Canis lupus familiaris: one gene and its partners. The protein of the gene in region 1 purifies or fractionates together with the protein of each later gene. This does not show direct contact. Links are inferred from orthologs where the notes say so. Each region holds a gene or a part of one and is shown in the gene's direction. Other genes may lie near its edges. The genes, in order: FBXW8, CUL7, CUL1 and CCDC8.

The links.
Region 2: the proteins of FBXW8 (region 1) and CUL7 purify together in Homo sapiens (affinity purification with western blotting; 12 studies listed by BioGRID and IntAct, with this or other methods). This does not show direct contact. The link is inferred for Canis lupus familiaris from reciprocal best matches to the Homo sapiens genes FBXW8 and CUL7.
Region 3: the proteins of FBXW8 (region 1) and CUL1 purify together in Homo sapiens (affinity purification with western blotting; 9 studies listed by BioGRID and IntAct, with this or other methods). This does not show direct contact. The link is inferred for Canis lupus familiaris from reciprocal best matches to the Homo sapiens genes FBXW8 and CUL1.
Region 4: the proteins of FBXW8 (region 1) and CCDC8 purify together in Homo sapiens (affinity purification with mass spectrometry; 3 studies listed by BioGRID and IntAct, with this or other methods). This does not show direct contact. The link is inferred for Canis lupus familiaris from reciprocal best matches to the Homo sapiens genes FBXW8 and CCDC8.

The regions. Positions count from the first base shown.
Region 1 is NC_049247.1:13,930,993-13,934,556, forward strand, and holds part of FBXW8 (F-box/WD repeat-containing protein 8), read left to right. Parts: intron 1-2,804; coding exon 2,805-3,011; intron 3,012-3,564. UniProt on the Homo sapiens protein: Substrate-recognition component of the Cul7-RING(FBXW8) ubiquitin ligase complex, which mediates the ubiquitination and subsequent proteasomal degradation of target proteins.
Region 2 is NC_049233.1:11,755,883-11,759,446, reverse strand, and holds part of CUL7 (cullin-7), read left to right. Parts: coding exon 1-267; intron 268-786; coding exon 787-925; intron 926-1,021; coding exon 1,022-1,218; intron 1,219-1,506; coding exon 1,507-1,735; intron 1,736-2,250; coding exon 2,251-2,488; intron 2,489-2,569; coding exon 2,570-2,675; intron 2,676-3,564. UniProt on the Homo sapiens protein: Core component of the 3M and Cul7-RING(FBXW8) complexes, which mediate the ubiquitination and subsequent proteasomal degradation of target proteins. Core component of the 3M complex, a complex required to regulate microtubule dynamics and genome integrity.
Region 3 is NC_049237.1:1,677,414-1,680,977, reverse strand, and holds part of CUL1 (cullin-1), read left to right. Parts: intron 1-1,317; coding exon 1,318-1,480; intron 1,481-2,733; coding exon 2,734-2,864; intron 2,865-3,564. UniProt on the Homo sapiens protein: Core component of multiple cullin-RING-based SCF (SKP1-CUL1-F-box protein) E3 ubiquitin-protein ligase complexes, which mediate the ubiquitination of proteins involved in cell cycle progression, signal transduction and transcription.
Region 4 is NC_049222.1:110,057,486-110,061,734, reverse strand, and holds the start of CCDC8 (coiled-coil domain-containing protein 8), read left to right. Parts: upstream 1-1,389; 5' UTR 1,390-2,131; coding exon 2,132-3,697; 3' UTR 3,698-4,249. UniProt on the Homo sapiens protein: Core component of the 3M complex, a complex required to regulate microtubule dynamics and genome integrity. It is unclear how the 3M complex regulates microtubules, it could act by controlling the level of a microtubule stabilizer.

The DNA.
Region 1 (3,564 bases):
AAAAGCCAATAGAGGCTTAGAGCCAATCTGAGGCTTTGCCCAGATCTCAAAGCTAGGAAGTTGTGCTTCAAGCCTCAGGGCTGACTTTAAGGCTAAGGTTTCTCATCTGGGTCTGAAGCTGTGGTCCTCAGCTTTCTTCACATTCACCCCTGGAAATCTGAGCTTGGTTTCTGGCCTATTATAGAAGTGAAAATGAATTCAGTGGTATCATCCCAGTCCATATGGGAAGGAAGATTTCCATCCTGCACTTTCTTCCGCCTAAGATTTTCTCACCTGGAATTAAAAGTAACTCCTGAGTGAAAATAAATTTAAGTCAGTGTTAATTGGATAGCCGCGTTCCAGGGTGTCCTGTGTGAGACTCAGCCAACCTTAAGACCTCTTCACATAGATCCTATCTCCAAGTATAGTTGTACTTGAGCCTCCATGTTTATATGGCAGGAGATGATTTTGTGGTAAGAAGAAAGAGCTCAAATCTGTGCTAAATTTAGATTTAATTTAAACACTTGATTTTGGCAGTACTGGAGGAGTGAACAGAAAAGCCGGTATTGAATGATGAATTGGTGGTCTAACCCAGAACAGATCTTGTTCTCCTCCCTTTCTCACCCTGCTAGAAATCTTGTTAGGCTTGAGTAACTAAAAAGCCATGGTGTCACCACTTCACCCCAATAAGCTTCTCGTCCCTTAAAGACCAATTTCTACAGTTTGGGTGGTGGTTTCCCCAAACAGCCTGATGCTCCTTTTGGAGTTTTATTAGAAAAATGTGGAAGTACTATCTTTCTGTTTGTTCTTAAAACTACCATAGTGTTTATTATTTGGTCTCTACCTAAAGAACATTCTACACTAGCAATAATTATATGAATTCAGACAATTATTTAAGATGTGAGTTCCTCTATACAGGGTAAATCCTGCCTTGGCAATAAGGTGGTGTTCTGGCATAGACTAGAAGCTTTTTGAAGTAGTTTATAGCTCTTGGCGAATGGCACAACCACAGCCGATATGAGCCTCTTGGTCTGTCAATACTCCAACAGTAAAGTGAAATTAAATGGCTAGACTGAGGATGTTGATTTTAGGAAAATAAGAAATGAGTTTTAGAATACGAGAGAGAGGAAGGAAGCAGACACTGCTGGAGGCATGTGTTACTATACTTCTTATGTGTTATTTCTCCTCCTGGGTTAGGGGTTGCCATAGAATATGCTGTCACTGAAAAAGGCACCTCTTGGCCCATTAGTGCTGGGCCATTTTTGTCTTCCCCAGATAGGCTCCCTGAATCACAGTGGCGGTGTTCCCCAGTTTGTACTACTGGCTGAGAACGTCTGTCCTTTGTGATGAGTTCTTGGCTGGGGATGTGGGGCCGTGCTCACTCTTGGGCCGGAGGATTAGCATAGTCACCCGGATGTTTACGCTCTCCCAAGCTCCTTTGGACAGTCCTCAGGATTCAGGCTTTTGAACTCATTTGGCTTATTGTCAGGGCAGTGCTGTCCTTTTACACAGTGGTTTTCATAATTACACAGCATGGCACACCTTCTGCTTTTGTGCTCTCAGATTTTACTCGAGGTGAAAACCTGGTGTAAACTGTGCTCAGGAAAAATGTGCCACTTCGGGACATAGACAAGCAAATTATTCCTAAAGGGAACGCCTCATTCCCCTGCAGTTTAGAGAAAGTGTTGCAATAATGCAGTCAGGAGTACTGAAGTGGCATAAAAGTACTGGTGGCAGCCTTTCTACCCTCGATGACATTGAAGCCAGCAGAGGACATGTAACTCAGGTACTTTTAGTCTTTTAGCAACACAAATATCATTTTTGGTATTTGCACAAATGTTAAAATGTGAAGTGTGCTAATTTGGAACGGAGTGGATTTCATTCAATTTCTTGTAAAAAAAAAAAACTTAAAATTTTTTGAATAGTTATACCCTCATGGTTCAGAATTTAAAAGATATAGAAAGGTTTACAGGGAGAAATCTGTCTTCCACTCCATCAAAAAACTCTGTGCCCTTTTCAAAGGCAGCCGTTGTTAGCAGATTTATAGTTGCATAAGCCACATATATGTCTCATGGTACCTCTGGTCCCCCTGGCCCCCCTTCACACACATTAGCACACTGTGAATCATATCACTTTGCTTCCTTGCCTCCCGCACCCCCAAATTTATCTTGGAGATGATTCCATTTGTATCAGTTTATAAAGAATGCTTCATGCTTGTTTTCTGTGGCTGCATAGTATTCCAATAGATACACTGTTAATTAGTCTCTTAATAAGGCATGTTTAGGCTTTCCCAGTTTTAGTTAAGACAACATAGTGCCACAGTAAGTAACCATGTACACAGTTGTTTTGCATATGTGTGAATTTATCTGTAAATAAATTCCTAGGGCTGACTTGCTGGTTCAGAGCGCATATGCCTTTGACATTGTGGTAAGTTTTGCCAGTGTCTCTCTAGAGAGGCTGGACCAGTTTACATCCCACCAACCATAAGTGGGATCCACAAATGTGGTTGTCCCTTCCTCTAGTTCTAGATCAGTGTCCTAGCAGGCTAATTGATCTTTGCTGATATGACTGGTGAAAATGGTATTGCTGAATTTTTATTTCACATTCCTCTTTTTAGGAATATATCATGTTTCTTTTACAAAGAGCAACTTTTTTGTTAGTGTGAGAACTATGTTCTCATTTCCTGTGAACTGTGACCCTTTGCCTGTCTTTTTCTGTTAGGGTTGCTGGCCTTATTGATGTGTAGGAGAAATTGTATTTTTTACCAAGTCAGGAGGAACTATAGGTGAGATCTGATGGGCTACATAACTCTTATCCTTTCACAGGTTGACTACCTTGAAATAGTACCAGATACTGGAAGGTACCCTGTGGCAGTGGCCACGGCTGGAGATCTGGTATACCTGCTAAAGGCTGAAGACTCTGCCAGAACCCTCCATTATGTGTACGGCCAGCCAGTCACATGTCTGGATGTCTCAGCCAACCAGGCTGCTTTTGGTGTGAAGAGTCTAGGATGGGTATACGAAGGAAACAAGGTACAAAAATAGTAAGATGTATAAGTAACAAAAAAAGAACATTGATTTTTATTTTTTATAAGGCAATTAAAAAATTAAATCTCTCTGTTTATATTTTATAAGGTGTATTCAGGCACTATATATTCAGCATGGTGAAAAAGAGGAATCTCAAGCACTTCTAAAGGATATAAAATGAAAAGTAACTGTTTCCTTTCTCCTGCCTTCCCCCAGCCTCCCTCCACAGAAGAAACTATTAAACATTTTTTAGGTGTCCATCTAGAAAAATTTAACGCATTTATAGGTACATTTATACACTAAAAACTTATCTTTGTAGAAATGAGATCATAGTATACATACTGTCCTGTACTCAACATTTTTATTCAGTAATCTACCTTGGAGAGCATTCCCTGTCAGCACATACCATGCTCCTTCTCACTGGGATTCCGGTGTATGCTTACGACCCATAGTCTGTTTATTCAGCCCCCTTGCTGGTAGGCAGTTAGGTCGCTTTCACTATTTGGGCTATTAAAGACCATGCTACAGTGTGTACTGCAACCTTTGAAAAGTCCTTGTG
Region 2 (3,564 bases), on another chromosome or scaffold:
TTGGCACGGTCCTCCTGCTCCATCTTCCAGCCCCAACTGGCAGAGGCTGGCCCCGGGCTGCCACCCACCCGGGCCCAGCCCTCCATTAGGAGGTCAAGGAGGTTCCGCCCTCGCTCTGAGTTTGCAAGTGGCAATACTTATGCCTTGTATGTGCGAGAGACGCTGCAGGCTGGGATGCGAGTGCGCATGCTGGATGACTACGAGGAGGTCAGCGCTGGGGATGAGGGAGAGTTCCGTCAGAGCAACAACGGCATGCCCCCCGTGCAGGTGAGCCAAGACATGTGTGAGATGCTGTCAGGGCTCTAGCTGGGGGAGCATAACTGGGGCTTCCATACAGGGGGCTCTGGCAGGCCACCCATGGAAAAAAAAAAAACCCTGTGGGGATTGGAGTGGTGAAAAGAGGTCAGGGAGGTGAGAAGGGGGCCATTTGGAGGGCTGAGAAAATCAGGGTTGGGTAGGCTATGAGGTCAGGAAGACTCACTCCCAGGAAAAAAACTGATAAAGCAAGACTCTCCCAAAGGTCAGGGTCAGAGAGAGAGTAGCTGAGGCCAGGAGGAAGTGTGGGGACGAGTGGGTGGGAGGAGAAGCAGAGCCTATTCCCATAGGACAGGTCATCCTTTGTGTGTGTGTGTTCTCCGTATGCCAGCATTGTGTTCTTTGGAGGTTGCTCTAAACCTGGCCAGGTGGTCAGCCTGAGGGCTGTATGTCCTCATCACTGGGCCACAGCATAGCCAGTCTTGAAGTGAGCCATCTCTTCTTCCCTCTCTTTTTTCCCATATCCACCAGGTGTTGTGGGAGTCGACGGGCCGCACCTACTGGGTGCACTGGCACATGCTGGAAATTCTGGGCTTTGAGGAAGACATTGAGGATGTGGTTGAGGCCAATGAGTACCAGGGGGCAGTGGTCAGTGGAGCCCTGGGTGTAGGTGAGCCCCAAGAGGAAACAGGGTCAGCTCTGAGCACAGGAGCACAGGAGCTGGGTAGGCAATGATATCCCTGTGCCCTTTGACCTGTTTCCATAGCTCTGCCTTCCTGGCGGTGGAAGCCCATGACAGAGCTCTATGCAGTGCCCTACGTGCTGCCTGAGGATGAGGATGCTGAGGAGAGTGAGCACCTGACCCAGGCGGAGTGGTGGGAGCTCCTCTTCTTTATCAAGAAGCTGGACGGGCCTGACCATCAGGAGGTTCTCCAGATCCTCCAGGAGAACCTGGATGGGGAGGTACCCAGCCTGGAGACACCCAGAAGTTGGAGGACTCAATACAAGGGCTGGACTGAGAGAGCATTTGGGAGGCTTAGGATGGGGAGTGGAGGACCACAGTGTAAGGGGCTGCAGAGGAAGGATCTAGAATGTTCAGAGGCATTGGAAAGCCATATGGGAGGAGGCAGCTGCCAGCCATGAGAGGTTCAGGATGGAGAGGTGTGTGCAGAGATCCCCACCCCTACTAGTGCCTCTGGAACCTCTGTGCTGGCAGGGCTACCTGCAGTGAAACCTTCTCCCCGGTGACAGATTCTGGATGACGAGATCCTGGCTGAGCTGGCTGTGCCCATGGAGTTGGCCCAGGACCTACTGCTGGCTCTGCCACAGCGACTTGATGACAGCGCTCTCAGGGACCTGCTCAACTGCCGTGTCTACAGGAAATACGGGCCTGAGGCCCTGGCAGGGCACCCAGCTTACCCAACCCTTCTGGAAGCCCAGGCCCAGCCTCAGGAATCAGCAGGTGCAGCCAGAGTGGAAGGTGGGGTGCCAGACAGACTTTGCAGCAGCTCTGCAGACTGGTGTCTAGAAGGGCTTCAGCCTAGGAGAGGTGTCTATGCTGATTTTGTACCATCCTGTCTGGAAGAGTTGGCACCTAAGGAAAAATCTGATGCATAGAGCTGCTTCCTCCAATGAATGAGGGAGGATGGAAAGTCAGAAAATTGAAAGAGATTTGAAGTCTCATAAAGCCCCACATTGAACTTTTCCTGTTGTAGAGAAAGCCAAATTAATTGCATGCTTTTAGATATAGGGAAATGCTCTGCTGTTTGCAGACGGGAAGTTCCTATGCTATTTTAAGAATATAAAACATAAGATTTGTCACAGAGCTGTCTTTTAAATACATTAAGAGATGCTGTAAGATCCCCAAACTCATTTTAGGAGGATCTCCCCAAAAAACATTGTTAGGAAAAATTAGGAGTTATGAACGTGTCTGTCCTTTTCTGATCCTGACATTACCAACGATAGCCAACTCTTGTGATGTCCACCTTTCTGTAGGAAAAGAACCCCCAGCTCAGTATCCTGACACTCCTCTGTGGCGACTGCTGGTGGATTGTGGTCCACCTGGGAGAACCTTCCTGGACCTGGAGCGAGCTCTCAGCTCAGAGGGGCCCCAGGAGACAGAGATCAAGCCGTTCCTGCTGCAGCTGCAGCGGCAGCCCCAACCTTTCCTTATCCTGATGCAGAGCCTCGCCACCCCGGCAGCCAACAAGCCCCTGCACCTGACCGTTCTGAGGTGAGGGGGTGGGGAGGGGCATGGGGCAGAAGGGTCCCTGAGGCTAGCTACACATCTCTTGCCTCCCCACCCCCTCCCCAGAATCCTGATGCAGCTGGTGGACTTCCCCGAGGCGCTGCTGCTCCCCTGGCACGAGGCCATGGACGCCTGCATGGCCTGCCTGCGGTCACCAGACACTGACCGAGAGGTACTCCCATCTTGCTCTGGGGAGATGCTGGAGGGAGAGGTCGCAAGGAGGGCCTCTGGAGGGCACGATGGAGCCTTTGTGCTCCTGGTTTAGGATTTATTTTTAAAATCAAATTTGATTTTTTCAAATAGGTAATATATTCATACAGGTCACAAATTAAAATGGCCTAACAAGGGATACACTGAGAATTCTCACTTCCATATGTTCTCACTTCCATCCAATTTTTCCAGTGCCTCTCCCCATGCCCTGTATTGGTTATCATTTGTATTAATGTATGTGTCCTTCCTGTGTGCCCATTTGCAAGTATAAATATGCCCAAGTGGATGATCTGATTTGCCATATCCTTTCTTACACAAAAGGTTACATTTATTTTACATTAGCCTTAGTGACTCCTGTTTGGCTGAGCTCCTGTTTAAGGGACAGGGGGATAAAGGAGGCGGAAGAGACATCACATCTCAGGATCCCCTGTCACAGAGAGGTCCTGGGCTTGGAACGCTTGGCAGTGGGTGTCTGCAATGCATGCCTTTGGCTGTTACCCAGATTTTCATTTCGGAGGTGGACTCACTGAGTGTCCCTCTCCGCCTCCTCCCTGCCATCAGGGTATCTGTGTCTGGGGCCTGAGCATCTCAAAATGCAGCCCCACAACTGCTTCTTGGGACATGGCCTAAAAAGGAACAAACTGGGAAGCTCTCTGCACCTATTGCCAACATAATCAGTAGTTGAGAACCCCAGGACAGCAGAGCATCTCAGCTTTTCTGTGACTGTTTGCCTTGGGTTCTCTGACTGCACCCAGCCCTTTCATCTTCCCCCCTTCCTGCCTTCTTTCCTCACTGTCTGTTCACTGTTGTCGCCCCAGCAGCCAGCACACAGTGGGTGTGTAATCAGTACT
Region 3 (3,564 bases), on another chromosome or scaffold:
GCTGCCATCGTGAGCTAGATGTGCAAATTCCTCCTCTGTGTTCCCTTTTCTGTGATGTTTAGGGATATTTTAGTGGAACCACTTGAGACTCTTTGGCTTCTCTGCAATAGGGATGGCTTTGATTAATGAACCCTAAACCACATTTGGGTTAACATATCCCACTGTCTTCGTGTGATTGAAACTAATGTGAGCTACAAAAGATTTATTGACTATTCTAGGTTACTGATGTCTCTCTTTCTCTCTTTCTCTCTCTCTCTCACACACACACACACACACACACACACACTTTAAAAATAAAATATACAGGGCAGCATGGGTGGCTCAGCAGTTTAGTGCTGCCTTCAGCCCAGGGCGTGATCCTGGAGACCCGGCATCGAGTACCACGTCCGGCTCCCTGCATGGAGCCTGCTTCTCCCTCTGCCTGTGTCTGTGCCTCTCTCTCTCTCTCTCTCTCTCTCTGTGTCTATCATGAATGAATGAATGAATGAATGAATAAATAAATAAATAAATCTATCTATCTATCTTTAAAAAAAATAAAATCATTTTGCAAAGTTTGGTACTTTTATAATACAAAATATAGCTTTTCTTTTTATTCAGATCACCTGAATAATTTGAGATTATCATTGAAATTTTGTCCTTGCTTCCATAGTTTAGTGGTTCCTTGGTGATACTTTACAAAATTTCTGGTGATGCTTTGTAAAATACATGGACTTTCATTTATTTTGCTGCCCTTCTTATGACATCTTTGTTTTCCTCTCTTCCTTGAAGGGAATTGTAAGAACTCGAGATTAATAAATCCACTAGTTACAGAGGCACATACCCAGATTGGCAAAAGAAGCCCATGTTTTTCTTTAAATTTTTTTTAAAAAGTATGATTACTGATAACTATTTCCATGTGGTCGTCATCTCAGGGAATATATTTGTGTGACCCTTGACTTCAGTAGCTTTCGGCCAGAAGTAGGGGTTCTAAATATGGTATCTGTGTATGAGAGATGATCCGTAGGTTTCTCAGATATTTCCCCCAAAAGGTGAAGTGCCATGTATCTGAAGGAAGAAAGGTAGCATAAACGCATTTGAATTGCTCATAGTGATGACCTTGGTAAGTCATTTCAAAGGAGCTGGAGGTAGAAATATACTATAGAGAAAATGAGCACATCATTGACCACTTAAATATGGTTGGTGTTCACCCAAAACCAAAGAACTCCTTCCCTTTTCTCTTAATTTATTAGAGCAGGTTTGTGAGTTTAATTTGCCATTTTTCACGTAACAATTTTTTAGAAACAAACCCAGACTGTTTGCTTGAATTAATTCCTGCAGGCAGAGGCCCGTCTGCTCGAGGAACAGAGAAGGGTCCAGGTCTACCTTCATGAAAGCACACAAGATGAACTAGCAAGGAAGTGTGAGCAAGTGCTCATTGAAAAACACTTGGAAATTTTCCACACAGAATTCCAGAACTTGTTGGATGCTGACAAAAATGAAGGTGAGCCTCTCAGACTTTCAGGACATGTGCATGTCTATTATGACCTACAGTTTTGACATTGTTTGAAATTCTAGACTCAGAGGTAACAATATCACCAACATCAATCACTTTCTGAAAGATTAACATGTGAGTGTGCATTTACCTTGTGTGTAGATTTCAGGCCTCTGTAGAGTGTTTTGGGTATAACTTTCGGGGGCAGGGAGAGCATCTTTGCAGTTCCACTGGGAATATAACTTGTTGCATACACTTCAGCATGAAATGATACTACCCCCGATTTTTTTCTTGAGGATTTTTATTTTGAAAATTCTTCAAGGGATCCCTGGATGGCGCAGCGGTTTGGCGCCTGCCTTTGGCCCACGGCGGATCCTGGAGACCTGGGATCGAATCCCACATCGGGCTCCCGGTGCATGGAGCCTGCTTCTCCCTCTGCCTGTGTCTCTACCTCTCTCTCTCTCTCTCTCTCTCTCTCTGTGACTATCATAAATAAATAAAAAACTAAAAATTCTTCAAGATGTGAAGGCTAGTATTTTGTAAAAGTATTTCTTTTACCCTTCAGGTTTTACCAGGACATGTTAGGAACTCAGTAAAAGATTGAAGTTCAAAAGTTTTTTTCTTTGTCCTTCATAAACTAACCATGTGCCACACATGTAGTTAATTTGGGGACCCTTTTGTGACTCACTTGTTTGTAGAGTTGAGATGGATATTCATAAATGCTCCTTAAATGTATTCATTTTTTTAAAATAAATATTTGAGGGATGCCTGGGTGACTCTGGTTGAGAGTCTGCCTTCGGCTCAGGTCATGGTCCTGCGTCAGGTTCCCTACAGGGAGCCTGTTTCTCGCTCTGCCTGTGTTTCTGCCTCTCTCTGTGTCTTTCATAAATAAATAATCTTAAAATAAATATTTGAGTGCCTATTATGTATCTAACATAAATAATATCTCAAGCTTGAGAATTTTAGGTAGCATCAGAAACACTTTCTGATAAAACGATGTTTTTTCTCTGTTATTTTGGTGGTTTCTCATACTAAAGGGAAAAAATAAACTTTTACAATAGGACAACTTCATTGTTGTTTTCAGCTTAATATACATATACAAAGGACAAAATATTTGGCTATAATTAAAACATTTTTGATTATTTAGATCTGAAAACACCGTTTTATTTCAAGGTATTTTTCATCACAGTATAAATACATACTTAGTACAATGGATATGTAAAGTTTATTCCGTGTATAATGGTGGCACCTTCTTCTTTCAGATTTGGGTCGCATGTATAATCTTGTATCTAGAATCCAGGATGGCCTAGGAGAATTGAAAAAACTTCTAGAGACACACATTCATAATCAGGGTCTTGCGGCAATTGAAAAATGTGGAGAAGCTGCTTTAAATGTAAGTACTGTGTAATTGGAAATCAGTCAGGCCTAACCATTTCCACACAGGAACTGCAGACATGTGTGCCTCCATTTATGAATCCAAGTGATAAGATTTTCACTAGAGCTCTCACAGGGAACCTTGTTTTGGCTTTTTAAAACAAGGTTCACAAACCTCTTGGTTTAGTAAATTCCTCCATGAACTTTTCTCTGATATCTTTCAGGCATTGCGGATGTCATTTCTTGATATTTTTTTCCCTTCATGTCTTCTCACAATTACATTCCTTACACTAGAAAAGAGAAGATTCATCCATAGAATGAATAGACTAAAGCCTCCTAGACACTTGGCTCCATCACCCACCGGCCACAGGCTGTACCTGTTGGGGACTTTGAGGACCCCTGCTGCTGCCACCCCCCACCCCACCCCCAGAAGGTCACAGGGCTCTTTGCCCTGGATCATCCCTGAAACGTGTAGTAGTCCTATGAACCCTACTACGCCAGGAGGCATATGGAATGTTCCTACTAGTGTAATTTCAGGTGATAATTTCTCATAGGGAGTACCTCGTGTTCCTAAAAGATGGGTAAGTTGTCCTTGGTTTTGTCCCTGTTGGCATTTTAATTTTAATAGTGTTTGGGAGAATAAGGAAAAGCTTCTAGAACATGGTTGGTTCTTACATCTAAATCAGAAAACATTTTAGTCTCTGATTTTATTGTGTTTA
Region 4 (4,249 bases), on another chromosome or scaffold:
GAGTAAGTGATTTTTTTTAAAAAAAGATTTTATTTATTTGAGAGAGGGAGCATGAACAGAGAGGGAAAAGCAGACTCCCTGCTGGGCAGGGAACCCAATATGGGACTCGATCCCAGGACTCTGGGATCATGACCTGAGCCAAAGGCAGATACTTAACTACCTGAGCCACCCAGGTACCCCGAGTAGGTGATATTTACATCCTCAGCTATAAATGGGAATGATCGGACCCCTGGGTGGCTCAGTACGCTAAAGCGGCTGCTTTGGGCTCAGGTCATGATCCAGGGGTCCTGGGATGGAGCCCCACCTCTCCCTCCCTGCTCAGCAGGGGGTCTGCTTCTCTTCTCTCTCTGTTCTCTTTCTCAAGTAGATAAATAAAATCTTTTAATAAAATAAAATAAGGGATCCCTGGGTGGCGCAGCGGTTTGGCGCCTGCCTTTGGCCCCGGCGCGATCCTGGAGACCCGGGATCAAATCCCACATCAGGCTCCCGGTGCATGGAGGCTGCTTCTCCCTCTGCCTGTGTCTCTGCCTCTCTCTCTCTCTCTCTCTCTCTCTCTCTCTCTCTCTCTGTGACCATCATAAATAAATAAAAATTAAAAAAATAATAATAAAATAAAATGGGAATGATCATATTACCTGTATCATAATGTTATAGGGAGGATTTCATGAGTTAGTCTGCAGAAAGCACTTAGAATGGTGTCTAAGGACGCAGGAGACGCTCCATAAAACCTGACTCTCCTTTTCACCGGATGCTTCTTTTTACAGAGCTGCATAGTCTTTCAATGCGAGAACCGTACAACCAAGCCAGCGCCTCCTGATGAACACTTCGGTTCCTTCCTTCACCCCCACAATCTTTATTGAGCACCTACCGTGTGCCAAGCCTGGTGCTAGAGGCTAGCGCAGTTACGATCCTGGTACTAATCTCTCCACCGACCTGTAAGGAGGTCGGAACCTGTATGGCTAAAGAGGTAGGGACCTCTTGGTACCCAAAGTCACATGATGTGAAGTGGTCACCTCCAGTGCCAGTGGCTGGTACCCAAGGTCACATGGTGTGAAGTGGTCACCTCCAGTGCCGGTGGCTTTCCAAAGGACCGCCCCGTGAGCACCGCCACCTCCAGGGCTCGGCTGGAAGCCCCGGCTTTAGCAGGGCAGGTTAGGGAACTGCCGCCTTTCCCCCAGGGAAGGTGCTGACGTGGGCCCCGGCGGGGGCGTCCGCCTCGGGAGCGGTGGCCCCAAGGAGGCCCGGAGCGCGGCCACACCCCTGTGGGGGAGGGAATAAGGGCGCCCCGAAGGGAGTGGACAGCCCCCCTGTCAGTCTTCCCGAGTCCGGGAGTGTAAGATGAGAAGGGGAAGGTGGGCCTCCCCGAGGGGAGAGCGAGGAGGAACTTCCTGCCCGCGCTCCTCGGCGCTGAGCGCTCGGGCTGGGGAGGCTGTGGGCGCGTCAAGGTCGGCCTGGGACTGGGGTGGCCGCCTGCCCGGGGGCGGGAGACCCTGGGGGGCCGGGCTGCGGCCCCCAAGCGCCTCGGCCTTATTGAAGAGCCGTCTTCGTGTGCGAAGGCCTCTCCCAAGCTGCGGGCGCGTCCCGAGGCAGGAAGAGCCACGGGGCAGCCCGTGCGCCCCCACTAGCTTGGAGCCGGGACTCCACGTCTGCAGCTGGCGGTGGGCTTCGAGCCCCAGGACTCGCCTCTCCCGGGCTCACGTAAGCATCCTGGGGATTGATTCCCGCCAGTCCTCGGTGGTGGGCGGGGAGCCGGACTCGGTCAAGACTGGACTTTGTGGCGGGCAGAGGAGTCGGGAGGGGCTGGCTCATCCTTGGCTGCAGAGGTGAGACCCTCCCCGGGGGCAGTTCTGCTGGGACCCCCACCCCCAAGACTCAGGCCTATTTGTAGTTTGGGGTCGTTGCCCCCAGCCCAGATTTCACCCTGGAGATCTTAAAGACCCTCGAGAAAAGCCACGTGGGGGGCTGGTTCCCCTGGGGCTTCCTCCCATCCCCCGACTCCCTGATCCTCTGGAGCGTCCCTGATGTGTGCAAAGATGTGGATCTGGACGTCCTCGTGGAAGCCTTGAAGCCCGTTGGGACCTTTAAGAAGATTGGCAAGGTGTTCCGCAGGGAGGAGGACTCCACGGTGGGGATGCTGCAGATCGGGGAGGACGTCGACTATTTGCTCATCCCCCGGGAGGTCAGGCTGGCCGGAGGCGTGTGGAGGGTCATCTCCAAGCCTGCCACCAAGGAGGCGGAATTTCGGGAGCGGCTGATCCAGTTTCTGGAGGAAGAAGGCCGCACATTGGAGGACGTGGCCCGCATCATTGAGAAGAGCACCCCACACCCGCCCCAGCCCCCCAGAAAGCCCAAGGAGCCCGGAGGGAGGAGGAGAGTCCAGCAGATGGTGACCCCTCCCCCACGCCTGGTCGTGGGCACCTATGACAGCAGCAATGCCAGCGACAGCGAGTTCAGTGACTTCGACACCTCCAGAGACAAGCGTGACAAGGGTGACAAAGGTCACAAAGGTGCAGGGCGCAGCAGGAAGGTGCGCAAAATGCCAGTCAGTTACCTGGGCAGCAAATTTCTAGGGAGCGACCTGGAGAGCGAGGACGACGAGGAACTGGTGGAGGCCTTCCTGCAGCGAGGGGAGAAGAAGCCCAGCGCGCCACCTGCCCGCCGCCGGGTGAACCTGCCAGTGCCCATGTTCGAGGACAACCCCAGGCCGCAGCTGTCCAAGGCTGACAGGTGGCGAGAGTATGTCAGCCAGGTGTCCTGGGGGAAGCTGAAGCGGAGGGTGAAGGGTTGGGCGCCCAGGTCCAGCCCCGAGGTGGGCGAGGCCCGGCAGGCCTCTACCAGGCTGGAGAGGGTTGGGGCGTCCATACTGGGCAGAGCCAGCCGGGGGGTTAATGTGGGCAACACAGGAGCTGAGCAGGTGCCTGAGAGTCCCCCAAGACGATGGAGGCCCAAAATCAACTGGGCCTCTTTTCGCCGTCACAGGAGGGAAGAAGCAGCATCCACAGAGGAGGGGGCAGAGGTTGTAGATGATCAGAGAGCAGAGGCTGCAGATGATCAGGGGGCTGAGGCTGCAGATAATCAGAGGGCAGAGGCTGCAGATGATCAGAGGGCAGAGGCTGCAGATGATCAGGGGGCTGAGGCTGCAGATGATCAGGGGGCTGAGGCTGCAGATAATCAGAGAGCTGAGGCTGCAGATAATCAGAGGGCAGAGGCTGCAGATAATCAGAGGGCAGAGGCTGCAGATGATCAAAGAGTAGAGGCCATACCTGTCCAGGGGGCAGAGGCCATAGCTGTCCAGAGGGCAGAAGTTGCAAGTAGTCAGGGGGAAGGGGCTCCAGATAATCAAAGGGCAGAGGTCCCAGTTGTCCAGGGGGCAGAGGCTGCATCCGATGGGGCAGAAGCCATAGCCAACCAGAGGGCAGAAGCGGCACATAACCAAAGGGCAGAAGCCCCAGCTGCCCAGGTGGCCACAGGGACAACCCAAGGAGCTAAGGCCCGGAAACAGGTCAAGACAGTGAGGTTCCAGACCCCTGGACGTTTTTCATGGTTTCGCAAACGCCGGAGAGCCTTCTGGCACACTCCCCGGTTGCCAACCCTGCCCAAGAGAGTCCCCAGGGCAGGCGAGGCCAGGAGCCTTAGAGTGTTAAGGGCAGAGGCCAGAGCAGAAGCAGAGCAGGGAGAGCGAGAAGACCAGCTGTGAGGTGAGGGCAGGGGTGCCCTGGGGCTCGCAGCCACCTGCCATACCATCACCACTCTGGGCTCGGCCCTCCCTCCCCTGCACTTGGGTGGAGATGCCCTTCCTGCCACCATACTTGAAAATGCAAGTGGACAAGGGTCGGGCAGTGGTCCTCCCATCTCCACCCAGCACCCATCTTTCCTGTTAAAAGTTTATCTTTCATGCATTGATTTTTTGTTTTTAAAGACTCTTTCTAGTCACCCAAGGAATGTAAAGAAACAGAGCCATACAAAGGGGTTGCATCACTCATGATTTTAACTTCTCAAATGCGACTCTAGGTGCTCAGCTTGGCGGGGGCAGGATGCTAGGGAGAAATTTCCTCCCCTCCCCCTTTCTCTTCTTTTCTCCTGCACACTTAACATTGACCGCCTCCTTGAACTTAAGAAAAAAGGGGCTCGAGCCGACATGCAAATAAAATGCTTACCACGTGATTTCCTGGCTCTGGACTGGGCAGCTGAAGAATGCTCCAGGGTTATGCTGTCACTCCCTTGTGTCCCCTCCACTCCCACCCTCCTG